Linked DNA regions of Drosophila melanogaster. The protein of the gene in region 1 purifies or fractionates together with the protein of each later gene. This does not show direct contact. Each region holds a gene or a part of one and is shown on either strand. Other genes may lie near its edges. The genes, in order: bowl and lin.

Region 1 (15,852 bases):
TTAATTTGGCTCAACGATCCGATTCCCATTGGAACCCGATTCAGATTCGGATATGGTCCCAGGCCCAGCCCAAAAGTATCAAACACACCAGCTACCTGCTGGGGCCAACGAAGCATTTCGAATGCGATCAATGAACCTGTTGCTTTTGGCCCTCTAGCTACAAACTACCAGCTGAACTCCGAGTTGGCCACATGTTTTACACAAATTTCAAGTAATTTATTTTAAAATCGTAAAGCGATGCAAAATATGCAAGGAGGGAAGCCACTTCAACCGACGGGCACTCAGAAAAATCACAACGATCTTATGGTTCGCATTAGCATATATATCTTATTTGTACATCTTTATTTTAAGCAAAAAGAGCAAGGTAAGGGTTAGATATTAGATATTATTATTAAACAATAGTCAATTTCAATTTTATGTATTGTGGAATCCAATTATAAGGGAGACCAATTATGGTAATTATTTATTTTATTTCTTATTTACTTATTGTTATTTATATATGCTGAAAATTATTTTCCGAGTGCAGCAAGAGCAACAGTTGTTGATGGGGGAAGTCGACGACGACTAGCATAACAATTCGCTCGCCCTATGAGGCAGCTACCGTTTTTCCGTCTTCTCTTTTCTACCACTTATTTCTGGTCTTCTGCCTGTTGCCGCTTTGTATCTCCATTTCCACTTACTGTTTTTGCAGTGGCAGCAGCCACAATTTAGTTCCACTGTGCAGCACCTTAATTACATGGCTACGGACTCTCTTTTGTTGGGTACTTTTCGGGTTTTTCTTTTCTGCATCTCGGAATCATTACGACCATGATCACCGTCGTGGCCGAAACGTAACTCCCTCTACTTTTGGGACCCTAGCTGATTTTTGGTCTTTTTGTTAACGTCTTTTCTTTTACCACTTGACCGCATTGATGCTGCATTGCGAGCAGAGGTTGCCAGATTGTTAGAATAGAAATTTTACAGTCTATTATAATAATATAAGACCTATTTACATAGCCTAGCTCGAATCAATCATTTACCTATGTTTTATTTTTTTCCAAGTTCCCGTGCTCGCCTTCTTTTATAAGGACTAATTACCATTAATAAAAGTCAGTCTGGCGATAAGATGGTTTCTAGACTTATATTGTTTTACGACCTATTTCCATAAATGAATTGTATAACTCGGCTGCCGATTAATCATCAGTGTATATTTAAATACATATGTATAAATATTTTTCCCTAAAGCTACCAACTAATTATTCCAAATAAATATTTACTTATCAGTAGAACATTGGAACTTGTCATAATATAGATATATAGTCGTGTGAGTAATGCACTTTATTTCACCCCAACTTTCGACTTGGCAACCCCTTCTTCGAAGAAACCTTATCACCTTGCCTCCCTAAAAATGCTTTCTGATTAGTCATTCCCCTAAATGAAACCGCAACAAAAGCCGAAGAACAAAATACACCCCCACTAAAAAGGCATAACAATAAACAGGGAACTACCAGAGTTACACCCTCCTCCTCCTTTTCGGGTGAAGCCACCATAACGATCCATGGGCAGCAGCAGCAACGGCAATCTGGCAACACCCGGGCCAATTGTACCCTACCCTCTCGACTGGGCCAAAAAAAAAAAAGCAGTCGGTGGTAGTCGGTAGTCGGTCGGTAAACAGGTAGCGCTCTAACTGACAATAACTCGTCGTACGAATGCACGTTCCACGCTCCGCCAGTGCCAGTCTCCATATAAGTCCGTCCACGGGCCCATCCGTCCATTTAGCAGCGTGCGACTGGCGGCCGGTTGGGTTTGGGTTGAGTTCGGTTTAATTCCTCTCCTCCACTGAAAGAAATGTCGTACTATATTCAAACTGAATATAAGTTACTAGTTAATTCAGAAAAATATGTAAATGCATCCATTATTTATCTAGTATATTTAAGCAGATAGATTTATACTGTTGTTATTTACAGAAAATTAGAGCCTTACTCTTCAGATATTTAAGAATTGTTAAAACTTTTTCCACAGTGCACTAAGCTGGTTTTAGTGCCACTGCTCGCTACTCGTCGCTTGTCTCTTTCTACGCATTTCTCAGCCCGCGATTCTCTCGATTCTCTCTTTTTCCATTCGGGCCCTGTTTCTTGGGTTCGTGGCTCAGTCTTCGAGAGTTGATCGTGGCCAACGCACCTGCGCGCGGATCGCTGGTAATAGCTGTTGGAAAAGTGAACTGCATTGTGAGTGCCTCTCGCTCTATATCTATCTGTATCTTTCGCCGCCGATGTATCTTATTGAGCGGGCCCAGAGCGCTAGTGTGTGTGTGTGTGTGAGTGAACTTGTTGCATCGCCAGTTGCCTCGAGAAAAGCGCTTTTCAACTGCAACTGACTCTGTGTGTGGGAAGAGTTTGGGACTACTTGAGGAGCGAATTGGTAGCTGCACTGGCTTCAGCTCCTATTTCAAACAAAATGTAGAAAAACACATTTCAGCTGCCGTGTATCTCTCGTTCTCGTTCGGTTTTCAGTTCGTTGAGGTTGAGGTTTCGGTTCGGGTTTTTCTTCGTTCGGTTTTCATATCTGTGAGATACAAATACATCGTGTGTTTGTGCGCGAGTTGTACGTGGATTTTGGAAGGAAAAAAACTACGTGGTTTGTGGTAGCTGACTGCCGTTGATGCTGCTGCTGCTCCCGTAACCGCCCCCCTGCCGCCCCCTCAGCCCCACCCCCTGGGGCGATCGTGCCGTGATTTGAATCTCAAAATTGTCCCTTAGTGTGCGTGTTTTTTTAAATACATTTACTTGAGAATGATTCGGTGAAATACTTGTTAAAATTAAAATCAAACCTGAAAATATAACAAAAAATTTCCGACAAATATTTTGAAAATTTTAATAAAATTATTTACTTTTAAATTCACAGAATCGTATTAACAGAAGTCTTCAAACAAATACAACAAGAAAAAACAACATACAATTCAAGTGCCACTTAAATGATATAAATTACTACTTTAAAAACCAAAAACAATGCCAAGCATTTCAAAGCTTACAAACTGACAAAAAACCAGCAAAATCATATTGAAACAACTACTTGGATACTTTAGGACGCAAAGATAAAGCCCAAAGAGCCTGGGGCTTTCTTCTGTTTAACCCACAGGTAAGATTCCGCCGAGAACAGGCCCTGCCTTCCCAGATGAACACAAAAATTCCACACCACTTATTTTTACTTGTTTTATTTTTTGTTGTTTTTTTTTTTGTTTTCTGTTTGTGGCGTAGGGCTAGCTAATTACGTTTATTATTTTTTTATTTTGGTATTTTTTGCGTTGGCCAAAAAGGCAGCGAGTACAAAAATATAACGAGTACGCAGACAGAGAAGGAGAGAGAGAGAAAGACCCAAGATATATCTCAAAACCTGCTCCACAAATAGAATGAGACGGGGCGAAAAAACAGGAAAGAGAGCGCAACAACGTTGGCGGTTGGCGGACTGTCGACCGACAAGCGGCTTCCACTACAACTGCATGTGCCACTGTCATTGCCACTGAACTCAGTGTGGTGCCGCACAGTCCACGGTGGAGTACGTCCCCCATCCCCCCGCAAACTTCCCCACCATCCTGAACCACCCGCTTGCCCCATTGTTGTTGCTGTGGCGCTCAGTTCGAGTTGGTCGGTTCGAGCCGGACTCGAAAAACCTTCGCTTGGAATTCTGGGGGTCTCTTATGGGTGCTCTTGGTAAGGGTACTTCGTTTGAAAATGGTGTACACAATTTGTAAAATATTATTTAAAAATATTAATCGGTGTTAATAACGTTACATTTCTGAAAAACTTTAATTTTACAGAATTTCAAAGCATCGCGTTAGGTTTTAAAAATATATTTTACGAAATTTAGGCAAACTTAGTTTAATAAGCTGATAGTTTATAAGCTTCTTATTTATTCCAGTGTTTTTTTTTCAACAAGTCTACTCTAGTTTGATCTATAGTATTATTTACTTATTTTGCCTAGGGTATTAAGTGCATCGGCTTTATAGATCGTGATTTTTCACATGTTTCTTTCATTTCTGTTTCTTTTCTTTGTAAACCAGTTCACTTGTAGCCAGTGCCAGTGGCCAGTGGTCGCTCTCGCCGTCTTTTTCGCTCCTTCTCGGCTTGGAATCCGGTTTTTTTGGTTTTCTGTTTTCGGTTTTCGGTCGTGGTCGCTGTCTTAACTTGGCTCGATTCAGATTCGGAGCTCGGCTGGGGCTTTAATTGTCCAGAACGTGTGGCCAAAGAGGAAACGCAATTGCCGCAAGCTTCTGTTGGGTTCAGATACCGATTCGGATTCGGATTCAGCCTCAACCTCAGACCATCATCATCATCGTCATCTACATCTCTTGATTTCTTTTAAATGCTTTACTTTTTCCTTCATTTTTAAGCTTTTTTTTTGTAGAACGCCTCCCGCGCTCTCACAGTCTGAGTTATTATTATTTTTTTTTTGTATTTTTTGGTTGCGGTTCTATAAAGTTATTGGCTTTTGTTTCGCCTCAGTGGAGATCTATTTTGGATATTCATTGTCTTGCTTTATGGGCCATTTGGTTTTGTGTCCAAAAAGAGTTTTAGCATAAGAAAGGGAGTACCATAAAAGTTTATTACGCTTTACCTCTTTGGGTGGGTTTTCCTCTCCATCTTGGGCCACCAACTATCATTTTTCGGTTGCACCAGCAGCAGGGGAAAATGTTGCTGGTAATTGCCTTGTGGCAGGAAAATTGAAATCGAAATTAATTAAAATCGTGACAAAATACTTGATGAATTTAGATTTACCATAAAACCGCAGAACAATGGCTCGTTAGGGATCGCCATATTCGGGTTTTAAATTGAAATGGCTATATGGACACGCCTCGTTTTGGCACGTGTGTATAATTCACCTGATAGACCAGTTCATTTATTGTTGTTCTGGAACGGGAACTCATCAATTTTGATGGGGAAATTAGATGTTGTCTAGGGAATATGAATTTTTAATGCTATCAATGAAATCAGACAGCGGAAAGGTGATTATCAGTTTACATGTTTAGTTTTGGGCTGGGTTCCAAAAGTTGTCGAAGAAAAAAATATATAAATAATTTGTACCAAGATTTGTGTGCAATTAGCATAATCCAATTGCATTTGAATTAATAAATCATAGTCTTAGTGCTTCTACACTTATTAGCATAAACTCTTCCAATAAATAAGAATTGACCCATTGAAATTATAACACAATAGATTGCCTGAAAAAGTAGCAATCCGACCAACAAAAGATCTTAAGAGTTCTATTCAAGGGTGAAATTTTTGAATGGATTTAGTTCGAATGAAAGGAGCAGCACAATATGACAATAGAATTTATACGAAGATCGGCTTAGCATTCAAAGTGGATTACTTCAAGAGGGATTAGAAAGAGTCAAAGTTAAGCCGAAATAATTCAATTTTAGGAACTAACTGTCTGAACTTCAGTTAATCCTAAGAAGGTTTCAATTCAAAAAAAAATATTTATTTCAGCAACCAGAGGAATCTGGTTATCTGCAGCTCGCCATTTATCATTTAATAAAAATCCATTGGTGGATATTCTTGCTCACTCCGCGTGCTCCATACTTTAATCATAACAAATCTTTGGTCGTAACTTGAAAGCATTTTCAATTTATGCTAACGACATTATCAATCCTGCTGCAGCTGCATTCCCGAACCCATAAAACTTCATTAGCAGTTGTTCGTTTCCAGATTTCCCCGCGAAATTAGCAAAGCTTTTTAAATTAATGGCCAGCACACACAGGAACGCGGGGGGTGGCGGAGGGTTGAGGTGCAGGGTTCTGGCCAGCACTCCAAATGTGTAAATCTCATGGATATTAATCAAGAAAATTATAGACAAGGCTGCGCAGGAAGATCGCCTGCCTACCTCGGGAGCAAAAAAAAAAAAAAAAGAGAAAAACAACAACGCAACTTGCTTTCCACCGAGGGCAATGATTATGCTAGATTTTTAATAGCTTTGACTATAATCTCAGATGCTGCTTGGGCCCGAAAGGGTTTTCAGATTAACGCATGTGAAGTGCAGGTCTCTTTGGTTCTCCTCTTCGACTATAATTATAAGTCTGCGTCGGTTTTTCCTCCTCTCCATCGCTGTCTTGATTATTAGCTACCTTCACACAAACATATGCACACTCGGTGGAAGAAAAAGTATCCCGAAGGGATTAAAACACACAGCCTGGCCAAGAGCATTCCGCACTGCACAGCGGATCTCGGCGACCCTTTTTCCATTCCTTCACCCGTAATACCCATACCCATACCCATACCCATTCTCCTCCTCCGGGGAACTCCTCCCACCACTCCACTTTTCTTCGTCGTCATCTTCTGGCTTGTTTGTTGTTGTTGGCCGGTGTTTTGTAAGCAAACTGAAGTGCATATGGGGGCCCGGTAAGCACTCGGCCCAGAAGATAAGGTCCGAAATAAAAGGTTTACTGATAGACCGCGGGTGTACCTCGGCCTTAAAATTGTGGTAGGTATTTCTAGCTAACGGTCCCTATTTCAAAAACCATTGCTAAGAACCTTTAAAATAGTTGAGCTCCGGTTAGTAGGTAACATGGGATTGATCTTACTGATTCATATAACGTTAAATGATAATTTAATTCAAAATTATTTTTTTCTTGTCATTGAGCAACATTCTGTTTTCTGTAAATACACAGATCCTTCTAAGATATTAAAGGTTATATAATGGCTTGGTCGGGAAATCCTGATATACCCCTTTCAATACATAATCACTGGGCAGTAAGACGCATGGACATTTCCAGCCATCGTAGGCCATCATCAGAGGGACAAACTCGCCTCCTCAGCTCTCTGCGTTTTCTATACAAATACTAAATCCGTTTGCTCAGTGTGTGTCTGTGTGTGTTTGTATATTTTTCTGTTTTTTTTTTTTATCAACTAAAACCTTTTCACTCTGCTGGGCCCTGGGTTTCTGCTGGCCTCAGTTGTTTACACACAAAAACCCAGCAAACGAACCGATCCCGGACCCAGAAATCCAAGGAAAAGAAGCAAGACGGCTCAAAAAGAAGAGGAGGGAAAAAAGTGGCAGCCAAATTGCTCCTCGATATCTTTTATTTTCCTCCCAGCAGTAGTTGGTCTTCTGGCTCTTTTTATTATATGTACGATACAGAGAAAGAAAAGATATTAATATTACCTCTCTAATTAAATATGCACATTTCAATATTACATAAAAAAGTACGTACTAATTATTTTTTGTTCATTTCCCTATATATTCAGAATTATTTGATATACTCTTTTTTTTAATATTAAATAATTCACAAGAGTGCACAATAATTTTTCCAGTGCACCTTCAGACGCACACATATTGGAAACTTTAAGCCTTTGGCTTCATTTACTGGGCAACCGTTTGCGCAAACGTATCTGTGGATCTTTGAGTACGAGTATCTTTGTATCTCCGCATCTGTATCTGTATCTGTGCGCACAACTCTCTCTCAATATTTCTACGGCAGTCTACGTGCCGTCGCTTTTGCTGATGATGTCCATTATTTACATGAATTTTATTTGTTTTTCTTATTTGGCTTGACGTTTTCAAAAGTGCCGATGTTTCAAAAAAGATAATGAACGCTGAATTGTACATTGTATGTGCACAGGGTATGGGGTGAAACGTGGGTCCAAAGCGGTCGTAAATGCAAAAGTGTGGAAACAATCCCTAGAAAAAGTACTGAAATCGAAAAAAATATATATAAATACCCAAAACGGGTTACACTTCAGTTTTTTTTTTTTTTCGAGGCTACCAGAAATACGTGAGCCCAAATTGGAATGGGATTATCGGGATCGTAATCGAATGAGGCATGGCGGGGCCATCGCTCATCTACAGCAAAGGTTCCCTAAGTTGGGGGACTTATTAGATCAGATAAGTTCTTTATTGAATCGAATATAGATAGACTGCGACAGATTATCAGTGAGGGCACGAGAACTCGCATGGGTGAGAGTTAAAAGGTATTGAACTGAAAGAATTATCCAATTACTATCTAATAAACGTGGAGATTAGTTTGGCATGTGCTAGTCGTATTAGGGAAACAAAAACGCTTCGATATGGCTTTCGTAAGCATTTCTAGTGTAAATATTACAATTAGATCATCTATTTGCCTAATATCTTAACTGCGTGCTCCGTTGTCTACTAAAGACTCGCTGATATGATAGCACGATAAGACCTACCCACATCTAACAGCTATTTGAATTAATAATTGGGACCTGCTTATATCTCATCCACTTGAACTATACGTGGTCCGTAGAGTCATTCCCCCATAACAATGATACACTCATGATCAAGTCATGATTTCAGCTACTTTATAGAGCTAATCTGACAGCGCACTCTCCAGCCAGACAATGCCAAAATAATTTCCATAGATAAGAGACCACCACAATGACTAGTCATCCGTACGGAAAGAACGGTAACTTCAACAATGGGCGCCTCTCCAAAAAACTTGGCTAAGCTCATTTTTAACCAACTATGACGATCACTTCACTTGTTGTTAGCCGAATGTTAATGTTGGTCTTAATGACGTTGCAGCATTTTGCATTAAAATCAACCGAGACAGCGAGAACGATTCTAGCAAAATGATAAGCAAAACTGTCATTGCACCGACAGCTGGGTTATTTTTAAAGCATTTTTTTTTTCAACTGGTTGTACATTTAAATGAGGATAGTACACCGAAAAAAAAGGTTGACTTACTGAGGAAACTTTGCTCTCTGGGGCGCACTCTTTGCGAGCCACAAATTTTAAAGCATATTACTATAAATTCTTTTAATATTATAACAAATATAATCTTATCGTAAAAGATAGATCTTAAAATAGAATTCCATAGAATTGGGTACAAAATTGGTGCCATTTTTTTTGCTGTGCAAGGCGTTGGGAAGATGGCAGCCAGAAGCGTTTGCAATATGGGGCCACAAACTTTATGGTCCGGCCATCATTGTGATCATTATTATGTGCATTATTTTGTTATTATCGTGATGATCACGTTCCGGGACCCGATCCCCTGCCCCTGCCCCTGCCTCTGCCCCTTCTTCTTTCGAGGCACTCAGAAGTCGAGGCTCCTGTTGCGTAAATCCAGTAAGCAGTCGGTCGAGTTCGGTTCGAGTCATTTACCAAAACCGACGGCAACTTGGCTGCCTGCCTCTGTATCTGTATCTTTGTATCTGTATCTGAGTGTGCCGGGGTATCTGCCGATATGCCATATATCACAGGCACATATATAATATAACTGTGTGTGTGTGTGTGTGTTTATATCGTTACTACTGTGCTGCTTACTCAGTCTCAGAGGTTCGGAGGCAGGTTTTTTTAGACGCACAATCTTATCTAACCTGCGCACTGGAAGCAACCGATCGCGGTGCCAAACTGCGACTCGTTTTCAGTTTAGTTTCACTCGCCGTCGTCGGCAGTCCGCCGCTGATAATAATAAACCAACAATAATAATAAAATTCCTATGGAAAAAACACAGCAACAAACCCATAGACGAGGGCCATAATGTGATAAACTGCTTAGTTACCCTGTGAAAATATACGTACTGTGATACCAAAACGTTCTCAGAATCGTATGGGTTATTTTCGAGAAAAATATTTTCTTCATTATTTTTTTTTTTGTGACTACTAAATCACGTTCACGTGGATAAATTCTGAAAGATCAGCTAATGTGATAATCCTTGGCTATTTGCAAGTTAATTGCCCATAAAGCTGTTTAATTTTGTGATAAGAAGTGCAAAAAGCAAATTTGAAGAATTTCACATCTAAAAAGTGAGTTACAACCGGTTGAGATAAAAAGAGTAAATATTCTATAGTATATATTGTATATATTCCTGTGCCTTGCCAAACCAAGATCATGAATATTTCAATTACAAGGAAACTTCCCACCAAGAAGAAACTAAGTTAATAGTAATATATCTATTTTAAACCAGTTTGCGTCAGTTTTTATCATACCCAGTACTACCCTAGGAGCAATAAAGAATACAACGTGGAAATATCTGTTTATTGCACTCGGTTCGCAATTAAGATAAGCCTCGAAAAAAAAACGAGAGCCCAATTAACCCAGCACAATCGTGTACTAATTGTTATTTACCACTACCCTTATTTTATTTTCGGCTTTTTCTGTTCTATCCCTATCTCCGGCAGTTCCAACGGAATGTGAAGAGCCCCTCCAATATAATGCCCACGGAAAGCTCATCCAGCGAGATCTCCGGCGGAGGAGGCGGTGCGATACCCATGCTGCGACCTTCCCGGATGGATCAGTTCATGAACTCGATGGCGGCGGCAGCGGCGGCGGTGGGTGGTGGCGGTCTTCCTGGTGCGGCGGATAGGAACGGCGGATCCGGAGGATCGGATGGTGGCTCCCAGAATGGCAACGGCGATTCGCGCAACTCATCGGCCAGCCGGATCTCAGCGTATGAAACACAGCTGGCCTATCAGCAGCATTTGGCCGGACTGCATGGTCCGCCGCCACCGCCACCACCATCGCATCATCGCGAGATCTCTGCCTTTGTGCCGGTTCTGCCCACCGGAAAGGTGCGCCCGGGTAGTAATTCCAATTACGAAATCATTGCCATGATGGCGGACAAGCGAAAGGAGTTGGCCCTAAGGGAGGCGGCTGCGGCGGCGGCAATGTTAGGACGAGGTCCTGGAGGACCCGGCGGTCCTGGTGTGCCACCGCCTGGAGTGTTGTACGGACCAGCTGGCGTGCCACCTCCGCCATATCTCACCGGACCGGGTCCATCGCCCACGGGAGCCGGAAGTTTTCCATTTCCACCAGGAGCCGCCGCCGCAGCTCTATTTCCACCTGGCCTGGGTCCTGGAATGCATGCCGGACTCGATAGGCGCCTGCTACGTGCTCCTGGTCGGGCATCGCGGCCTAAAAAACAGTTCATCTGCAAGTTCTGCAATCGACAATTCACCAAGTCGTACAATCTGCTCATCCACGAGAGGACACACACGGACGAGCGGCCCTATTCCTGTGATATCTGCGGCAAGGCGTTCCGGCGACAGGATCACCTGAGGGATCACAGGTGAGTCGAGGTTGGGGTACAAGTAATCACAAAAGGGGGCAGTGTCTGCTCGGGTAATTGCCATCAGGCCTGGAGTTATTCTTTGTGCTCAAAGTGTGAACGAATGGCGAATAATGGAATACCCTGTAAAGGCAAAGGATAATTAGATCAATGTAATTTATTGCTTACTAGGCAGTTTATACACACATTCTGAACAGGTGTGACAGTAATCTCGGCCAAAAGGGAAAGGCGACCACTACTCGTAGATGGAGTTTTATTGATTTTAGATATATCAGACAATCGCTTCAAAAGACCCCTTTTACCATAAGGAATTTTCCAGGAAATGTTTAAACTTTACGACGAATTTTCCTACCTCAACTCAAATAAGTAAGTCCCCATAAAGCGGACCCAAAATCAGAGCTCCTCTGACGGCCAGTAAAACTTCAACTCGGCCGCAGAGTACAACACAAAGTTAATTAACTCTGTTGGTTTTCCTTTGGGGCTCCTCCACCAGCATTAAAATTGAGGGATGGCCAAGGGGTTGGGGGCTATATATCGGGTCTGTGTATCCCGGTGCCGATGCCCATGCCGATGCCAGGCAGCAGGTCCAGCATCCCGGCTTCAATGTGTCGGCCTGTCCGAGCGTTCTGTCTTTTGATCGTTCGGTATCGGTCCATTTGTCGTTTGTTTGCTTTGCCGCGGGGCTAATTCTTCTTAAGTTTTTTGTATTTTTTTTTTACCAGAAACGCACGGAGCATGGGAGAAGAATCTCGGTGCTTCGGAGGCAGAACCTGTTTTGGGTTTTTATACATTTATTTTTTTTTTTCCACCAGCAGCTGCTGCCTCCGATGCGATGCTGAATCTGTGGCTCCGTCGAAGATGGGGACTTTAACTTTTAACTGTGGCTGCTGCTATCCAACAGCAAGTGGACGCCATTGCCAAGATGGCCGCCATAAACATAAAAAATTAATGCAGCCAGATCGCATACACGAAAGTTAAATACCCTATCAGTTAAGAGGATACAAAATCATAGGATTTCTTTAATGAAAAACTTTAAAGAATTGGGTTTAAGGTTAAAACAAATCCAGGTTAGGTTTCATTTTGAAAGAGAAAGATAGGTATTATATGCTATAGTATTATATTATTTATTCTATTGTCTGCTCTAGCCAGTTATATCCTTAGTTAGAGTATTGTAAAGCTGTATATCAGTGAGCTTTATCGGTTCAAGTTAAGGCTGCATTTGAGCAGAGATAACTGTCAACCTGGGCTACCAATTGCAGCTACCAGGAAAACGCCCACGCTATAACAATAAAGTCTAATTGTTTCTCCACTTGTATTCGCCCAGGTATATTCACTCCAAGGAGAAACCCTTCAAATGCACGGAATGCGGCAAGGGATTCTGCCAATCGAGAACCTTGGCTGTCCACAAGATCCTGCACATGGAGGAATCACCCCACAAGTGCCCCGTCTGCAGTCGATCATTCAATCAGCGCTCCAACCTGAAGACCCATCTGCTCACCCACACGGATCACAAGCCCTACGAGTGCTCTTCATGCGGCAAAGTTTTCCGCCGTAACTGCGATCTACGACGCCATGCCTTGACCCATGCAGTGGGTGAGGTCAACTCCGGGGACTATGTGGATGTGGGCGAAGAGGATGAGGCCAGAAATTTAAGTGGCGACGAGGAGGATTCGTTGCTGGAAGTGGACTCGCCTCGCCAGTCGCCAGTTCACAATTTGGGCGAGTCTGGAGGATCGGGTGAGAAATCTGAGTCCGAAAGAATGAGACTCAAGCGCAAGGCAGCCATCGATCATGAGGAAAGCGAAGAGGAGTTCGATGACTTCGACGAGGAAGAGGAACTGCAGGATCTGCCAAGAGTACACGATTTGCCCAGGGAAGAGGACGACGACTTTGATCCCGAGGACGAGGAGCAGGCAGAAGTGGCACTAGTGGCGCGTTTCCAGGCGAGTAAGGCTGCCGCCACATCGCAATCATCGTCGTCAGTGGGCACCAAGCCGGAACGCCAGGGAGTCACCCACTGTCATCATGAGGGTGGTGAAACCTACACAATGCGGCCACATGGCGAGAAACATCAGGAGGAACCCGGGAACTCTGGCATTGCCAGCCTACCCGTTCCACCTTCCTTTGTGCGATATTCTGTACCACCTGGGGCAGCTGGACCGCCGCCTGCACCACCTGGAGCTCCTCCGCCAACCCACCAGCACCCAGGACATCCACACTTACTCCCACCCAACGGGGATCCCTATTTGCCCATTCTGCACGTTCGACGCGACTTGCACCACAAGAGCTTGAACCTTTCGAAGGCTGGTGTTCCACCGCCACCACATACACCACCCACTATAATAACCCAGCCGGAGTCGGGTAAACCACCCAATCAACCTTTGCATTCACCGCATGAAGCTATGCCCAGCTTCCTGGGATCGATACCCATGCGAAAGAGGATTCTTCCGGCACCGACCTTGGACTTGATGGATCCGCACCACCATCCTGGATTGGGTCAAAGGACCTTTGTGGATAGTCCCAGCATATATGCTTTGAATATGTCGCGACATCCCCCCAGACAGCTTCTGGGAAAACCACCGAGTACGGAAACAAGTGGAGCCACCACCGAAAAGGGACCACCAGTGGCAGCACCGCCCATAGCACCACCGCCTGCACCACCGAGAAGAACAGGGTTCAGCATTGAGGACATAATGAGGCGTTAGAAGTAAACCGAGAAAGAACTAGAAAACAATCCATTAATGGAGGTAAAATCGGAATAGAAAAACAACACAATTTGGAAAACTATTTATCAAAGCTCTTACGAATTTGAAATATCAAAAAGTAGTAGTATTCCTAATAAATATATATCTCGGTTGTTTTTTCTGGTATTTCATTTAGAAGGTCTTATGAACAGTTGAATATCATAATGACAAACAGTTATTGTTCCCAATGGTTAAACGAGGATTTATCGTTTTAGACCCACAAGTACATTAAAATAAATTTAGATCTACAATTTAATACTTTTTAGTACAATGTCTAGGCAAGGCAATAGACCTAAACTAAGTAATAAAATCAGTTAAGCGATAATTGTAAGCGAAACAAACTCCGTTGTTGCATTTTATAGAGCTCTTATGCGTTAGGATTTTAGCTTAAATCTACCGATTTAAATGTTTAAGCCTTTAGTACGAGAGTCTATCGATTAGTTTTTAATGTGTGGCCCAACACTAAGTGTTGCTGTTTGCTGAGTGAATTCCAATTTTTTATTTATGTTTCCTTATCCGGTAAGCTAATCTTAATGAGTAAACAAAATCGTTAATCGATTTTGCTGTAGGGAAAAAAATGGTTGAAAGTAAAAGTTAGTGTAAAGCAGAGCATAAACAAAAATCCAACTACAAGCAACATTCCAGTAGAACCTTATGTAATTAGGCTTAAATTTTAAGAGTTTTGCAGTAGTTAATATAAGCAACCCATAGAATTCCATGGTCTTCCTTCAATTTTAAATGATTTTATTCAAACCATAGCGAGTTAGTTGATTTCAAATAAAGTATGCATTAATAATGAAAAACAATTGCGTGCCATTTTTTTCATTGAAGTAAAAAAAAAAAATCGACTTAATCTGGCCAAGAATCCCAAGGCATCGCCTCAAATCCACTTTATTCAAAGCACTCCGGGCAGTTAAGTTGAAATGAAGTTAGCTAATATCGGCGAGATCGATGTCCAGATTTTTTGCCGCTTGATTGAAAGGAAGGGATCTGCGTAGAGTTATAAAAATCCACTGACTCACTCGCATGAGGCCATCAATCACAGACGGCGGTAATAATACTTCAGGCACGTTTCGAGGCCCCAGCCACCAAGCCCCTCCCCAACCTCCTAGACACGACAGTTTGCGGTTTGTGGCAACGCCTTTAACATTGACTCAAATCGACGAAAAATCGGTGGATGGGGATCAAATCAAAGTACACCACTCGAACACGTAGAAAGTTCAATTAAAATGCCACGCAAATTGTCATCACCGACAGTTGGAGTTGCCCGGCTTCCTGGAATTTCCTCATTGGGCGGATTGGGCGCCCATTTTTTACCGCCACCGATGACATCAATTTCTGGTTCAACTATAAAATAATACGCGTAAAGCCAAAGAGTTTCTCCGCCAGATGATATCATTTGGGTCCAGGAAAGCACGTGATTTGTTTGCCAAACTGTGCGTGAGAATGCTCTTTTAATGCCTTTATCTTCAGTAAAAGTTTATGAACTTCATGGAGCACGCAGATTGTTTAATATCTGTTAAAGACCGAAGGCTAACTCTTAGTTGGCTTTTTTCAAAAATATTTATATTGAATGTTTTGAATAACAATTTTCAATCGTAGAACTCCTTCAAAGCTTATCAGACCTCAACTGAGTATCAATCCTATCGAAAAAGTATATCTACTAGCATAATAATAATATTCTCCTTCCCATAATATAAAGCATAATGGATGAATTGTCTGTTGAAGAGCAGGACCTGCTCAAGAATATCTATAGCTTATTGGATAAGGATAACGAAGGTGCCATCACCTCGAAGGAATTGGGAATGGTAATCCGAGCATTAGGTCGACAGCCCAATGAATCGGAGGTTCAGTCCATGATAAACGAGGTGGACTCTGATGGAAACGGATCCATTGCAAAGGAGGAGTTTTGCAATGTGATTCTGCGCAAGATGCACGACACAAATAAGGAGGAGGAGCTGCGCGATGCGTTTCGCGTTTTTGATAAGGAAAACAATGGGTACATCTCCACTACCGAGCTGAGGGCTGTCTTTATGGCACTTGGTGAAAAATTGGAAGACGACGAGCTGGAGGAGATGATACGCGAGTACGATTTAGATCAGGATA
Region 2 (15,852 bases), on another chromosome or scaffold:
GGCATCCTGCATCTGGCTGGCCATGACGATCAACTTGGCGGCTGGATGCTCAACATCCAGCTCCCGCATGATGGTGCCGGCATCGCTGGTCACGAACTGCTTCTCGATGTGATTGATGATCATCTTGTTCATGCCATTTGGCCCATAGGCAGAGCGCATGGTCTGTGCAAACTCCTTGCAGGCGCTGATGTTGCGGAACACCGCCTCCTCCAGCCCACTGTACATCTGAGGACACAAGTAAAGCCATTAAATTAGTCATTTTTCTTTCATATGTCGAGCCCCGTTCCATGAGGATGACTAATCACGCGCCTCCGCAAGACGGCATGTTTTCTTTTAAGCCGAATCTCAATGAAACCGATGCCCGGCGGACTCCTCGCAGAGTTATTCCTCCTTGTTGCACTTACCCGGGCGCCATCCTTCAGCATCTGCGACACACCGGGAGCCTTGGGAACGGATAAAGCCATTTTTTAACACAGATTTCAATTTCACACGGAGTCAGTCGGTAAATTCCAGCTATAGTTATAACCTCAAAGTGGCCGCGAACATTCTGGATGGGATAGCGATGGCACTTGCCTATCGATTATCGTAAACGGTGACTGGCGCTATTTTATTTTTATTTTACATTTGAATTGATCTTTTTCAATAAGGTAACGATTCTCAATGGTTTATGATGAATAGCATGCAATTAACAATATAGTTCAGCAGTGGAGTTTACGCCCCAAAGAATCCTGTAAATCGAGTTTATTTCTTGGTCTTTGAACGCATTTACTTAAATAATCCAGGATAATGTATATAAGTTACTCCAAATAAGTAATATTTACAGTTGCAAAAGAATTTACTCATTTTAAGTTTTGAGGAAATTTTAAAACAATTAGAGTAAAATATTTTATTATTTAATTTAAAAACTGAAAAGTTTATTTAAAAAATTCACATTCCCATTGGTTTATTATATTGTTCACTCGATGAATTTTGTTTGCATATAATTTGATAAATCTTTCAAGGGTATAGGAAACGTCGGTAAATGCAATTCAATCGTGAGTCGTGCGTGACATTTGCGTGATAGATTGCATTAAGTGCGACGAGTGTGAGCCGATGTAAACACTAGCCTTAGCGCCCATCTCTAATTCAAAACATAAAAAACGATGTCGCTGGGCAAGAAGCACGTGTTGGGATTTTCGCCCAATGGTGGCCAACTATTTGCCTCGGTGGACGAGTCGGGAGTTCTGCGGATATGGAACACAGAGACGAACACGCTGTATCAGGAGTTTACGCCCAATCTACAGTTATCCGGGTCGTGCACAGCTCTCACGTGGGTTTTGGTGGCCGGTTCCCGGCCCAAGAAGTCGCGGAAGAGCCTCCAGGCACAGGATGCAGCCGGTGATCAGCTTCACATTGCTCTGGGAACGTACAAGGGCTCAGTGGTTATATACTCATTAGCCGAGGGAAAGGTGAGTCGGACAAAGAGCCTTGAAGGCGAATAAACCACAAGCAATCCTTGCAGATTTCTCGAACGCTCAGTGGCGACAGCCATGATGGACCAGTGACCTCAATTACAAATGACAACGCTGGCCACCTATACACTGTGGGTGCCGATTGTAGGGTTGTTGTTTGGTCCTTGACGGACGAGCGCTCCATCGCCGAATGGCAAGTGGGACCCGAGAAGCCCCAAAATATAGTCTACCTTCAGAAAAGTGGCACCTTGGCCATTGGCTACCGACAGCTGAAGGTGTACGATATCAAGACAAAGGAGCTGGTGGAAACGTTCACCGGCCACTCGGGCGAAATAAACACAATCAGCAGCGTGGCGAGCACAGATGGCACTGAATTCGTTTTGACCACCGCGAAGATGGAGCGCGTAATCTGCTTCTGGAAGATCGACAAGAAGGGCAAGAACAAAGCCTCCGCCTGCACGCTCCTCATGGAGGACTTGGCCTACTGTCTAACCAGCGAAGTGCGCGACGATGGTCAGCTACGTGTGGCCAGTGTTACCCGCAATGGCATCATACACATTTACCTGTTGAATGTGAACAGGTGGGTCATGTGAATACACGTTTTGTCACTCGTACTGAAGTACTATGTTTCACAGTTTATCCGCAGAGAAGTTTGTGAAGCCCAAGGTTTCGCTGCAGATCGTTTCCGATGGCGCCGAAACAGTGGAACCACTTCTAGCCGTGGCGGCCCACTTTGTGACAGACTCAAATCGCTCCCACGAAATCCTCTTTGGCTACGGAAGTCGCCAACAGCTGCAGTTTGAACGTTTTACGCCCAACTATGGCGAGAAACTAAACGTTATTGTGCGCGCCGATCCCAAAAAGCTCTATGCGAAAAAGAAGGGAAAGGAGCAGCCGGGCTACCAGGCCGCCACCAAGGTCCAGAAGCCCATTGTAAACCAAAAAAATGTGGAGTACAACAGCGCCCTGCCCATCTCGCAGAAGAAAGTGCAAAACGAAGTGCCCATGGAAGCCCGACTAGAACATCTTAAAATTCAAGGAACCAAACTGAGTGGCGGCAAGTTGTTGACGCAGAGCAAAACGCAGCTGCTAATGCAGGCATTACACAGCAAGGATCAGGCGTAAGGGATTTTCGAACAATGGCAATAGATGTTTTAATAGAAGTTCGTTTTTTAAGGATGATACAAGCCGTTCTGAGCACTCAGGATCCAGAGACGATACAGTTGACCTTGGATCGGCTACCGCTCGATTATGTCAATCCCCTGGTCAACGAACTTTCCATCCTGCTGCAAGGAAAGCACGCGAGGTGAGTGTTTTCCGTAGAGCCCTATTGAGTCTTTTTCTAAATACGTTCTTTTACAGTGTCCGCTCCGCCCTGCGTTGGCTGCACGCACTGACCTCCACCCACACTAGTGTCTTGATGTCCGAGGACAAGGAGGCTTTGCGCGAAAAACTAGCCGTTTGCCTCGGCGTGGCGGAGCAGCGCATGCACTGTCTATCGGAAGCTTTGCAGTAAGTAAAATTGGGGAATTGAAAGACACAAAACAAAGGTTTTAATAGGGAAATCAAGTTCAAGATCCCGATTTCTTTGAATTTTTCGGCTTGATATTATTCTTGGGCTTTTCAATGGTGCCGTGGCGACACTCCGAGATCGCAGCGAAGAAGGTCAGCTTGGTGTGCAGAATGGTGTCGATGTAGAATCGCTGAAAAGTGAACGAGTTGAGGCATCGTTCGCCCAGGCCGTAGTAGAGCGTGTTGTAACCCTCGAAGCGGTAGGTGATCATCACGGGATAATGCTTCAATAGAATCTTCGACAAGGAAATGATGAAACGCACCTTGGCGACGGCCAGAGGATTCGGACAACGGGGTGTTGGCCGAGAGAAATGGGCATCCACAAAGAGAATGGTTCCCTTTTTGGCCACCTCGTGTCGAATCGGATTGCTGATCACCACACACTTCGTGTCCGGCGAAAGTTCCCAGCGACTGACAAAATCCCTAATGTCGGCAATGGCATTGGAGTATTCAAAGTCCCCGATGGTCAGCATCTTGCGCGCCAAGCCACTGGATACGGAGTCCGCCGAAATGCCAAGGCCACCCGTGTAATGATTCGTGATCGAGGGATCATCCTCTCCGTTGGCCACAATGGTGTCGGTGAACACTGAAGAGATCAGGCTGATGGAGGACATCTTTTGCTTTTTCGGAAAGTTGTAGATAAAAAGACCACGCGGGTCTGACTCAATAATGGCCACCGCTTCGCAGAGTGTGCCTTCGATCAGGTCGATGATGCACTGCATATCAGCGTCATCGCAGGCCGGCTTGTTGCACTGGTTGACTAAGCTGGATATGCTGGGTATTATGGCAATGGGTAGGGCACCGCCTGGTCCCAATGCTGGCACGCCACTGCCTGGACTCGGGGGTTTCTTGTTGTGGGGGCTGGAGAAGTAGTCCATACAGCTAGCGCCATCATTGCACAAAAGATCCATTTTCGAAATCTGGCCACGACAAAATTTAGTAATGCGTGTACTCCTATTATTGTTATATTGGCAATATTGTTATAACACCTTTTCAATGCCTTCTTTATTTTTAGAATAACCGGGCGAGTCAACCTGATAATTAACCAGATGAAACGCAACGCGGACAATCATCTCAACGATAACAAAGCCCTGATCCTGGACGAAGATCCAGGTAAGTTATCAAGTGGTTTTATTCGCACAAGGCTCGAGTCTTAATTCGCTTGCTTGCAGATGAGCCCGATCCCGAAGCAGAAACGAACTGGAGCGATCTGGAGGAGGATCAGCCAGGCAGTCCGAAGAGCCCATTGGAAGACGAGCTGGTGGCCGACGACGACCTGGCGACCGACGATGGTAACGCCGACGCAGACACAGACTCTGACGTATCCATGGATTAGACAGTCTACCCGTAATTTAAGCTTAAATGCAATTCCCTTGTTGTTGCGCCGCGAGAAAATAAATTAGCATTTTTTTCCAAACACAGTCTTTTACATCGAATTCATAAATTTTTATTTACGGTTTTAAACTACGTGCAACAACGAATAGTGAGAGCCAATTGTTGGTCTAATTCCGACACGAGATTTCATCGATACGCAAGCAAACAAACATATCCAGTTCATAAATACAGTTGAATAATGTGCCAATAACAGGGGGCTTGTAGCTCGAGTATACATAAGCGGCGGCTACTGAATAACGGCTCAGAAACTACTAACAATTAGAGCATTTGTGTAAACATTTCTTTTTAATTCGCAACAAATAGCCAGACATGATTACTTCCAATTGGCTTTGATGAAGTTAATTAGACCGTTCGTGGAACTGTCGTGCGTGGAGACCTCGTTGCAGTGATCCAGCTCCGGCTCGATGGCCTTGGCCAGCTGCTTGCCCAGCTCCACACCCCATTGGTCGAACGAGTTGATGTCCCAAATGATGCCCTGAACGAAGATCTTGTGCTCGTACAGCGCTGCAAAATCAATTGACATTAATAGGTGCTCGTGAGCTGAAACAGTGAGACGTACCAATCAACGCGCCTAGGGTGAAAGGTGAAACCTTCTTCACCACAATCGAGTTTGTGGGCCGGTTGCCGACGAACACCTTGTGGGGCAACAAGTTATCCAGCTCGTTGCCGCACAGGCCAGCCTTGGACAGCTCGGTCCTGGCCTCGTCGACCGTCTTTCCGGCCATTAAAGCCTCCGTCTGGGCAAGGAAATTCGATAGCAGAATCTTGTGGTGCTTGCCGCCGGCAATGGGATTGTGTGTCTGGGCGGGAGCGATGAAATCGCAGGGGATCAGGCGGGTGCCCTGGTGGATGAGCTGGTAGAAGGCGTGCTGGCCATTGGTGCCAGGCTCGCCCCACACGATCGGACCAGTGCTGTACTTGACGGGTTTGCCCGACTTGCTGACGAACTTGCCGTTGCTCTCCATATCGCCCTGCTGGAAGTAGGCGGCGAACCGGTGCAAGTACTGATCGTAGGGAAGGAGGGCATGTGTTTCCGCCTTGAAGAAGTTGGAGTACCAAACGCCTAGCAACGCCAGGATAACAGGAGCCTAGGAAAGCCAATAAAATGGTTAACTATAATCATTTTACTTAACTCTCAGTTGAGTCTTACATTCTTCTCGAATGGTGTCGTCTTGAAATGGTTGTCCATGAAGTGAGCTCCATCCAGCAGTTGCTCAAAGTTCTCAAAGCCAATGGACAGACAGATTGACAGTCCAATGGCCGACCACAGGGAGTAGCGACCGCCCACCCAATCCCAAAAACCGAACATGTTGGTGCTGTCAATGCCGAATTCGGTGACCTTTTCCTTGTTGGTCGACAGGGCCACAAAATGCTTGGCCACGGACTCAGGCTAAAACAAAACAAAAATAGTTTGCAAATATAGGCCAGACTAAAATGTTGTGATGTAACTATTTGCTTTGGCTGCGTTATCTATTTTACATTTAAGGCAAGTGGAATTTCATATTGGAAACATTTAATTCGAATTTGAAATCCGATTTAGCCTTTGATTAAGTCCATAGGCTGCATTTGATAAGCACATTAAATTGATTTGATAGCTTGAACACGTCAAAATGGTTCTTATAGAATGATAAGAAAAATCACTAGGGTCCATTGATGGTTCATTGTATTAGTTTGGTTATCTTTGCTTAAAGCGCTATCAATGAAGGTCATTTAATGTTCGACCTTTCGCTGTACTTACCTCCTTGGAATGCTCCAGGAGCCAGGTCTTGGCGGAGGTGGCGTTCGTAATGGTCTCCTGGGTGGTGAAAGTTTTTGAGGCGACAATGAAGAGGGTGGTCTCGTAGTTGACCTTCTTGAGGACCTCGGCCAGATGAGTGCCATCGATGTTCGACACAAAGTGGGAGTGAAGGCCCTTGCCGTAGGGCTTCAGCGCTTCGGTGACCATCAGCGGGCCCAGATCGGAGCCACCGATGCCGATGTTGACCACGTCGGTGATCTGTTTGCCGGTGCAGCCGCGCCACACGCCGGAGATGACCATGTTGGTGAACTCCTTCATGTGGGCCAGTTCGGCGCGCACATCGGGCATCACGTCCTTGTCGTCCACCAGGACGGGATCCGTGCCGCGGTTGCGCAGGGCCGTGTGGAGGACGGCGCGGTTCTCCGTGATGTTAATGTGCTGGCCGGAGAACATGGCGTCCCGCGCGGCGTTAACGCGGCGCACCTTGGCCAGGGTGAGGAGCAGATCCCAGACCTCGTCATTGATACGGTTCTTCGAGTAGTCCAGCAGTATCTCGCCATCGTTCTGGGTGTGCAGGCGCAGGCTGATAAACAAACGAAAAACATTTGACCTCAGAGCAAGTACGATTCGGAGGTCGTTGCTGTGACCTTACGCAAGGACAAATCGAGTGGCGGCGACACTCGACAGCCGATGGTGAAAGTGAAAGTGGGCAAAGCGCAACTCGATGAATAAACGATTGCCGATGGGGGATACACGAATGAGTGTATGTATGCGGGAACTAGATACGTAACTTCCACCCTCTGAGGCGAAATCGACACAAAAACCCACCTGTATTTTGAGAATCTCTTGGAATCCTTCACGAACAGGTCCTTGATGTTCAGGTCCTTGCCCTTGGAGTCGTAGTACTCCTGCAGCTTCTGGAACGCTGCCTCCTGGTTGAGCGGAGGAAGTGGGCCGGCCATCTTACTTCAGTTATCCCAAGCAGGAACAGCAGGCGGATGCGGAGTAGAAGGGCAAGGGAGGACTATTTAGCACTCGATGCAAATTAGTAGCACACGGAGAAGAGAGCACAGGCGAACTGCTTCGACCGCTCGCGACACTTCACTTATAATAGCGGATCCGGCTGCTTAGGCGTCGGGTAGTTCCTATTATCTGGCTCCGGCAAATCTCCAGAGCACCGCACCACAACTTCGCCGTGTTTGCTTTTGATAGGTACTGACTGAGCGGCTGCCGATTTTCCAACGTCCTTTCTGGAATTCGCGAGCACCTTTCAATGTCAAATGAAAAACAAGCGAGTGTTGCCACGTCGGCCGCGCTCTTGTTTTAATGTGCCGATCGGTTTGCAGTGTGTGCGAATTTACTGTGTGTGGCCGCGTGGAGATGAACTGAGAACTTCCTACTCCTAGATCGTCTGCACCGGTAGGCAAAAGGACATAAACTGAAATTTTCAAAACGACTTAACCGCCGCTAACGGCATAATTTTATCTCGATGTGGCAGCACGCTCGGTGTTCAGGGCTGTCAGGTGTCAATGACTATCGAATAGCATTTCTATTATTTAATGTCAAAAATGTAAAAATAAAAACATTCTTAAAATTACTTTAAAGTTACCCGTTAAATTAGCACATATAAATTGAAAAATATTTGTTATCTGTAATTAGCTTCTCACAAAATATTTTTTGTTAAGTTCTCTGCAATCTTATAATTCTCAAGCACTTAATTATTATCACGCATTAGAAAATTAAAACTACCGGAGTCATTGTTATTAGAATTACTTTAGCAAACATTGTTGCTAAAGTTATAAGCGTGCAATAATTATTTTTAAAAAATAATACATTTCGGAAAGTAAAATATATGTGAATTGAGTTGTGACGACAGAGCTATGGTTGCGAGCCTGGCTATGTATATAGCTAACGCCAAATACCAAGATCCGTTTGGCAACGCTGCGCAAGTAGGGTTACCAGGTAGCTGAAACTCGCTAAAAGATGGCGACGCGCACTTAATTTTTGTTTTTTCCCACATAATAAAGTGTAATAAAACCAAAATAAAAGCAGTGCCAGAGAAACAATCGGAGGCGCTTAAAAAGTGAGAAACAGCACACGACCCAATCGACTGGCCCGGGCACGAAGCGAAACGCGAGTGCAGTGAAACTCACATAAACATTGACATGTCGCTGGCCCGAAGAGTGCAACAAGTGTGTGAAAATCGAATTGTGGCCGTTTAAAATGTTTGGAGGAGCAGTCAGAGCACCTGGCGGCAGCTAGAGCGCCCTCGTCGCCCCCAAGAAATCATAGTGTGTCTCAGGAAGCCGAGAGAATCGCCCCACGAAGCCAGGCAGCAGCGTCTGCACACGTAACCTTGTGTGCGCGTAGCACGGAAGCTGTTTGTCGGAATCGGGTTTGTAGGTATGTGGCTGCGAGCCGCCGCTTAGATTCGCTGCTCACCGGGCATTTCGCTTGCAGACCATTTGCAGGACGTCGGGTACGTCAGCGCGGAGGATGGACACCTCATCCGCAGCAGGATCTGGAGCCGGAACGGGCGATGTGTGCCCATGCTCCACGGTAGCAACCTCCACGACCTCCGCATCAAACGAACAGCCGCAGACCAAGCGCCAGAAGATCGAGCAGCAAATCAAGGTGGGCTCCAAGGCGCTGCCACCCCAGCCGCCCCATCCGCCGGATATACTGGACCTGGACGCCAACAGCAACAGCCACCTGTGCTCCTCGCTCTCCTCGTCCTCTTCGCACTCGCTGTCAACGCCAAGCACCGCCAACAACTCCCCCACCACCACGCCCTGTAGTTCCCGGGCGGCGTCGTACGCCCAGCTGCTGCACAACATCTTGCCACAAAACGGGGACACAGACCTGCACAGCCAGCCTGAATCCGCCCATGACGAAGTGGACAGGGCGGCCAAATTGCCCAACCTGCTAACCCTCGACACGACCAACGGCAATGGCAGTCATGCTAGCAGCAGGAGCAATTGCTTGCAAGCAACAACAGCCACGTCCATCGACGATATGCTGGAGTTCGAGCAGTCCCTGACCCGCCAGTGCCTGTGCGGCGTCTCGGAGCGAACGCTGCGCAAGCCCTTCCAGTCGCATTACTCACAGGACACCAACGGCCAGAAACGGATAGCCTACCTGCGGGAGTGGCCCACCAACAAGCTGCTGCAGTTTCTGTCGAATCTGCAGCTACTGTTCGATATCTACCTGAAGCAGAACGCAAAGGGCTTCATCTGCACGCGGATAATGGACGTTTGCGACGCACTCATTCGCAATGACCACAAGCTTATCGACGAGATTATCGTGCTGGCCGGCTACGAGAACTCTTACGTGCAATTTCTGGCGGGACGTGTGCTAGCCGCATTCCTGGTGATTGCCAAGCAAGAGCTGAATGACGAGTGGCTGCAGAAGATCGTCGACCAGCTATTTAACTTCGAGCAGCTTGACCAGGCGGCCGTGCAGAAGATCCACTTCAGCCTGGACATCATCAAGCGCATAGTGGAGTGGAAGGATATGGAGATCCATCCGCTGGACGACGACTGGATGGCGTCGGCGAATAGTACAAGTGCAGCCTCGTCAGTAGTGCCCCTTTCGACAGAGGCGTCCGTGAGCTACATGCATTTTCCCGTGCAGGAGCAGCCGCTAGCCACCAATTATTTTGCACTGCAATTTCGCGAGGATACGGAAGGTGAACGAGAGACGGGGCAGGAAGCACCTGACAACCGCGACCGACATCGGCGGCACTTTGGCGAGGATATGAACGTCGCCTACGAGCCGCACCCCGCTCCCCAGTCCACGACCATGCCCAGCGGTTGCCATGTGGTCACACTAACCGACTCGGAAAGCTTCGATACGACGCACCTGAAGTGCATCACCATTCAAAAGCTGGAGCACAAGTGGCCCACGCTGGTGAAGAACATGTCGGAGTTGATGGCGCCGACGCATCAGGATGCGGCCGAGCACTGTGTGCTCAACTTCTTGCAGCTATGGGAAAACATCATCTCGGTGAAGGCCAATCTGTCCATCGACGAGACGCGACCCTACTACGCCCAGCTGGACAAGTTTGAGCTGCTGCTCAGCCACAGCCTCTCCTGCACCGTGTACAAGCAGATGCTGTGCCTCTTCAACGAGGCATTGTGCTATGGTTCCACGCTGGCGCTGCAGGACATGCTGCCCGAGGAGACGTGCAAGCTGGCTCACCAGATAGTCTGCCATGTGCGCGGCTTCCGCATACTGGAGTCGTTGCCGCGGCGACAGCCGGACAACATGGTCAGTCTGATCGGCTACAATGGCAAGCCGATGGTGTACGCCAATGGAACAATTACCCTGGCACATGCCGCGCAATCAGGGGACAGCGAAGAGGACGGTGCGCCACTGGACCTTATCGAAATGGATAAGACACTGTTGCAGAAGATGGTGCTGTTGGTGCTGAAGTCGATAGCGGTGACGGTGAAGGAGATACGCAGCGATTCCTCCGACTCATCCATCGATTCCACCGACTACGATGCCTTCCAGGACATGATGCTCATTGAGCGCTCGATCCGCGATGTACTCAGCAAGCTGGAGACGTTCATAAAGCAGACGCTGGAATTCCATCCGGAGTGCCACTTCAGCAAGATCCTGATCCACCTGTTCGACGACCAGGACGACCACTTGATCGAGGCCATGGTCTGCACGCTGGACGTCACGTCTGGGATATCGTTCCGCAACAACGCCTTCCCCGAGCTGGTGGCCATGCTGAATCCGGTGTACACATTCCTGGAGTTCCTCAAGATGACATCGAACAGCTCGGACCTGCTGCTGGACCTGCTGGTGAGCAACGAGACCTGCTTCCTGCTCTACCTGCTGCGCCTGCTCAAGTACATCCGCATGAACTGGACGATGTTCGTGCACAGCTGTCACACCTTCGGCATGGGCAGCGCCATGCTAGACGAGGCGATGGGCGTTCTTATCCGGCTGCGCCTGCAGATATCCCGCCTCGTGTCGCGCCAGCTCTACCCCTACGACATTTCCCCCGTGCTGCGCCTGCTCGAGAGCTGCGAGAGCCTGTACGAGGGCAACGAGCTGAGCTGAATGCGGCGCAGGGACGAACTTCAACCACATGCAATTAAAATACGTAATTTATTTTAATATTTAATGGAATAGGAGAAACTAGCGCAAAATTCGATGAAGATGGAGGCCTTGTAGAATACGTGTATTAGCCGTAGGGACCAACCACTCCGACCATAACTCCGCACCCCGATCCAGTAGCGCGTCAACCGTAGTTAAGATCTTGCACCCTCTTCATCCGCTTCGCCCAGCAGGTCTTTCAACCCAGATACATACCCAGCTGTATGTAATTGTCATTGTAATTGTAATGAGCATCACAAGTTCGTAGTTAGTTCGTAGATAATGGTTATATCATAGGTACTGAATTCCAAACTAAACACTACGCTAGCCTAAGATTTTTTTAATCTTGCCCTAAGTAGAATAATGTACAATAGGATGGCAAAATGCTGCGGCAAACGGCTGCCCGCCGAAGTGGGCGTAAATTCGGTGTCTTCGAGAAGAATATTCTTTGTACGTTTTTTTAAAACACTTGAATAATATAACATAATTAACTGATTAAAAGAAACGCATTAAGAAGGACTACAACGTGTGCGGTTTCTGTTTCCGAATGGTGTGTTAAAATACTGTAGTCTCTTTGCAATTTCGTTGGGCTGTGTCCTGATCTCATCTGGACTTCTGGACTTCAATGGCGATTTATCATGCGGACGCGCCGCTTTGGATCAGCGGCTCCACTTGGCATACCACTGACTTCTGGTGGTGGCCCAGTGAGGCTTATCACCGAGCCGCGCCTGGCCATTTCCGGAGGATGTGGACTCGATACGTGCACCGTTTGATAGTTAATGCTGATCGGAACCGAGGAGCGACGGTTAAGACGAGGCTCTAGAGAAGAAAGTAGTTGGTCTTATGGGACGTGTCACTTTGTTGTGGGGACTCTTTACCGAAACGGGCTTCTCCGGATCCCGGCTTATGCGGATGCTGCTGACTGGGTCGGCTGGCCAAAGGAGATACCACCCTGTAGTGATACTCCTGAACCAGCGGAACGGACCTGGTGAAGCCTCCCTCATCGTTTAGCGTGTACTTGAAGCGATCCACAGATACGGAACGCTCCTCGCTGATTATATGCTTGCGCCGGAAGATGGGGGACTCATCCACTTTTGGCATGCATTGGGGAAATGTAGAGCGGTCAGTTTGGGATTCGGGGTGAGAGAGGATCGCAGAGGATTGCGTAAAAGCCCAATCGAACGGAGGAAATGAAACGCAAGCTAACACGGCTACGTATGTAAATTGATCACAGGAAAGCACATAGTAATTGATTTATTTTAGGATTACGTACACTTAGGACAGTAATATACATTCGAGTATGTACAACCTTATATTCGGATTCAGTACAGTTTCACAGATAGGTGAAGAGGAGGTAAACAGTGGAGGTCGTTCAAAAACACAGATATCAAACGCATAATCGAGCCCGAAAAGTGCGATGTACAGATGTATAGATGTATAGAGATTGAGGACAGACGAGAGATACACAATACACAACAATACATTTTCCGAAAAAGTCAGAAAACTGGTGCTTTAGAGTAGAGAAGATTGGCTAGTTCAGTACATAGTGGTAGATACATTTAGATTTATAGGATAACAATTCACTTGATCCCTCGTTAACACGGTGTAATAGGCTAGGCACCTGGCCCCCAGCGAGCTAAAACTTTGGCAAAGATTTTGGTGAAATACCTTTTGATGACCGGCGATCCTGCTTGTGGATCTGGGCATAAGATTGCAGCGAGCACCGGCGCAGTCGCTTGTCCCCTTTGTTCTGCTGCCGAAGAAGGATTATTCACGTGGCAATAGGGAATGGAATGCGGGTTATCCTTACCGACTTGTAGTGCTGGTTGATGTCCGAGGCGGCCTTCAGAAGCAGATAGACAAACACAAGGGCGAACAGGTAAATAATGGGCTCCGCTGTGTTACTCTTCTTGCCAACTTCCTTCTTCTTGTGCCCCTCCGGGGACTTTATCAAACGACGAGGTTGCTTGCTGACCCCATTTCCAGTGCCGTTTTTGGTTCTCTTCGTGGGCCTGCCTTGGGATCTTCTTGAAACTGCCTGATTCCGATTGGATTCCTTTCCGAAAACGTCCAACCTCTGGCACGATGCATCTGGAGCGGCGACATCCAATTCGGCGTCGGCCATGGCTTCCGGCTGGGCATGGTGCAGGTCGAAGGCAGCCACGCCCGGCTTAAAATAGTGCCTGTAGTTGCGCTGCATCCCGGCTACCATGAGATACACAGTGCAGAGCACCACGAGGATCCCCAGCGGCACCACATGATGGTTATTTGTATCCGTGTCCCTACTCACGGCACTTGCTTTTCGGTGTTTGGGAGAACAAGGCGGTGGCCCAATCTCTTCGGACAGAGCAAATTTATCGCCGGCCAGAGATTTCATAGCCGAGTGCTTACTGTTTACCAAGCAATTACCGTGTGTATCTGTTGACTGCGAGTCCTGGCTGCCGCTCGTGGTGGAAAATCGATAGGGATTGCCCACACAGCTTCACATGTTGGGTTGAACGAGGGTGTCCAGTGCAATTGAAAGGTCAATCGACCGAGGGAGATGCGCTGACAAGTGTGCTATGTGTCTATATATTTATTGGAACCTATTGCTCTACTTTTACAACAGTCTAAACTGTTTCCGATGCGATACTCTTCGCCACCCGAGGAACATACATGTTTGTGTGTATGCCTGACCTGACCTATGACATTCAGGTGGCGACGTACGTTAAGTTTGAATTGCAAAATCTCTTAAATGGTATGAACTTAAACACTAAACTAAATAAAAAGTTATGTACAAATGGTTGAAATGCTTCAGCATTCAAAGTATCCATTGGACATTCCAGTGAGTTGGTCGAGTATATCTAAAAATATACGAAATTTAATGGAAAAACTTATAAAATAGGAAATGTAATCATTTTAGGTACCTGTGATTTGTAGATCCGTAGACTGATTACTCATGGAGGTGTATAGCTTTCTGCTTTCAGCTATATTCTGCCGCTTGAACATGACAGTCCGTAAACTTTCTCCTGAAAATAGCATTCAAAACATTGGTAACCTTACCAAATTTATCTAAACATCAGCCGACTTACTTCTCAGAACATTTCCATGGGGTTTTGCCTTATCCGATTTAATGTCCAAGGTATTTGTGGGTAGCTTGTTGTCCGTTCGTCTAGTTACTCTATTCCTACGCTCTGTGTCGTAGAGGATACTGCCGCTTCGGGCTGTTTTATAGCCAGTGAAATGGGTTTCGTCTTCATTTACCCCCTTGGTATCATCAGCTAAAAGGGGAGCCAGGGGAATAGGAAGTTCCTCCTCTTGTTTACCAGCTCCCAGGGAGCCGTGCAATTTGCGCAAGATCGTGCGCAAGATCTTGAAGCGCTTGAGGATTCTCTGCGGCTCCACCTGGGATGCGCACATCAAAATAGCCTTGCACTCGCGCAGTACCCGGATGAACTGCTGGTAGTACTCTTCCCCCAATCGGTCCTGCGTTTCGCTTAGACCCTTTCGGTTGACTTCCAGCTGAAAGTGCTCGACTAGCAGCAAAGAGATTTGAACCAAGTCCTCCAATCGCTGCTTATCGAAAAGCTTTTCCGTTGCACTTATCCCTGAGGTCAGTATCTCCAGGCAACAACCAACGAGGGCGCGGCTGTCGATGATCTCCTGAAGCGCTGCCTTGAACTTGGCCACCTCCTCGTTAAAGTGCTGCTCTAGGATGTCCGAGTGCAAATCGGAACCATGGGCCTGCAGTGAAGGTATCAGAGTGGTGTCCAGTGATTCAAAGGAGGCCAGACAGCTGCGCATTATGGTTTTCACTGAAAAGGAATTGGTACTGGAGTTAATTGCGTTTTTTTTTATAATTATATATAATTATTATACTTTTCAAGTTGGGCGCAAAGGAAATGGCAAAAATGCCTATCTGGGTGGCGCGATCTATGTTCACATCAAAGTCCGCTATGAACTCATCGGCCAGATCATCATTATCTGGGCTGTTCCTTAACAGCGCTCTAATTTTGTCTACCGAAAACTTCTCGAAGTCCAGGAAGCATGTGAATACCAAGCGCAAAAGCGCATCGTTGATAAAGTCCTCCAATTGGTAAATTGCCTGTTCCATGGTCATGGCCCGCAGCTTAAGGGTGGACAGGTAGTTGGCACTGAATGACTCCTTGCACTCCTCCTGAAAGGCATTGCACTCCCGGATGACCTAGAGCACAAATGAGGGGAATAAATAAGGGGATACTGCAGAAGATGTACACCCACCTTTTGGCACAAGGCACTGAGAGCCCTCTTGTCCTGAGACAAAGCCACATTGGCGAATCCCAGAGATTGACCCAAGATCAAATCAATGTTGGCGCGCAACTTCTGGCTGAGTGGAAGGACTTCCTTGGGAGTCTTTGGACAGTTGGAGGTATCGGTGTTTTCCTCACTGTGCGAGGTGAACTGCGCCAAACAATCCAATGCGCCATCCACCAGCTTAAGGAACGAGCGCTCCGGAGCTACTGCTTCGGAACTCGATTCTTCGCTGTAAAGATGCATGAGGCGCTTCAGGCACCAGCGAATGCGGTCCAGGAAGTACTGATGACTTACCTGCTTTCAGAGGATTAGACA

What was found.
Region 2: the proteins of bowl (region 1) and lin purify together in Drosophila melanogaster (affinity purification with western blotting; 2 studies listed by BioGRID). This does not show direct contact.

Annotation. Positions count from the first base shown.
Region 1 is NT_033779.5:3,769,578-3,785,429, forward strand, and holds bowl (brother of odd with entrails limited), read left to right. Parts: upstream 1-2,122; 5' UTR 2,123-2,296; intron 2,297-2,342; exon of another isoform or gene 2,343-2,438; intron 2,439-2,448; exon of another isoform or gene 2,449-2,739; intron 2,740-2,883; 5' UTR 2,884-3,117; intron 3,118-9,360; exon of another isoform or gene 9,361-9,740; intron 9,741-10,115; 5' UTR 10,116-10,148; coding exon 10,149-11,002; intron 11,003-12,326; coding exon 12,327-13,707; 3' UTR 13,708-14,544; downstream 14,545-15,852. Other genes in the region: CG31960 (uncharacterized protein), read left to right, coding at 15,453-15,852. UniProt on the Drosophila melanogaster protein: Putative transcription factor. Required for leg joint formation, acting downstream of Notch to pattern the leg tarsal segments. Functions in the terminal pathway during embryogenesis, acting downstream of tll in the posterior of the embryo.
Region 2 is NT_033778.4:8,906,449-8,922,300, forward strand, and holds lin (lines), read left to right. Parts: upstream 1-8,075; 5' UTR 8,076-8,559; intron 8,560-8,616; 5' UTR 8,617-8,652; coding exon 8,653-11,229; 3' UTR 11,230-11,786; downstream 11,787-15,852. Other genes in the region: CCT8 (chaperonin containing TCP1 subunit 8), read right to left, coding at 1-225, 405-464; CG30349 (uncharacterized protein), read left to right, coding at 1,143-1,448, 1,502-2,031, 2,087-2,572, 2,629-2,757, 2,814-2,963, 4,039-4,136, 4,196-4,359; CG8252 (uncharacterized protein), read right to left, coding at 3,023-3,901; Pgi (phosphoglucose isomerase), read right to left, coding at 4,732-4,922, 4,978-5,506, 5,569-5,808, 6,157-6,739, 6,985-7,118; CG34219 (uncharacterized protein), read right to left, coding at 11,888-12,084, 12,144-12,366; CG8248 (uncharacterized protein), read right to left, coding at 12,902-13,018, 13,076-13,642; Spt (spitting image), read right to left, coding at 14,059-14,108, 14,172-14,273, 14,337-15,059, 15,124-15,448, 15,505-15,831. UniProt on the Drosophila melanogaster protein: Has a dual role as a segment polarity protein and as a modulator of the Abd-B protein. Required for Abd-B to activate the transcription of genes (including ems, cut and sal) that are involved in posterior spiracle morphogenesis.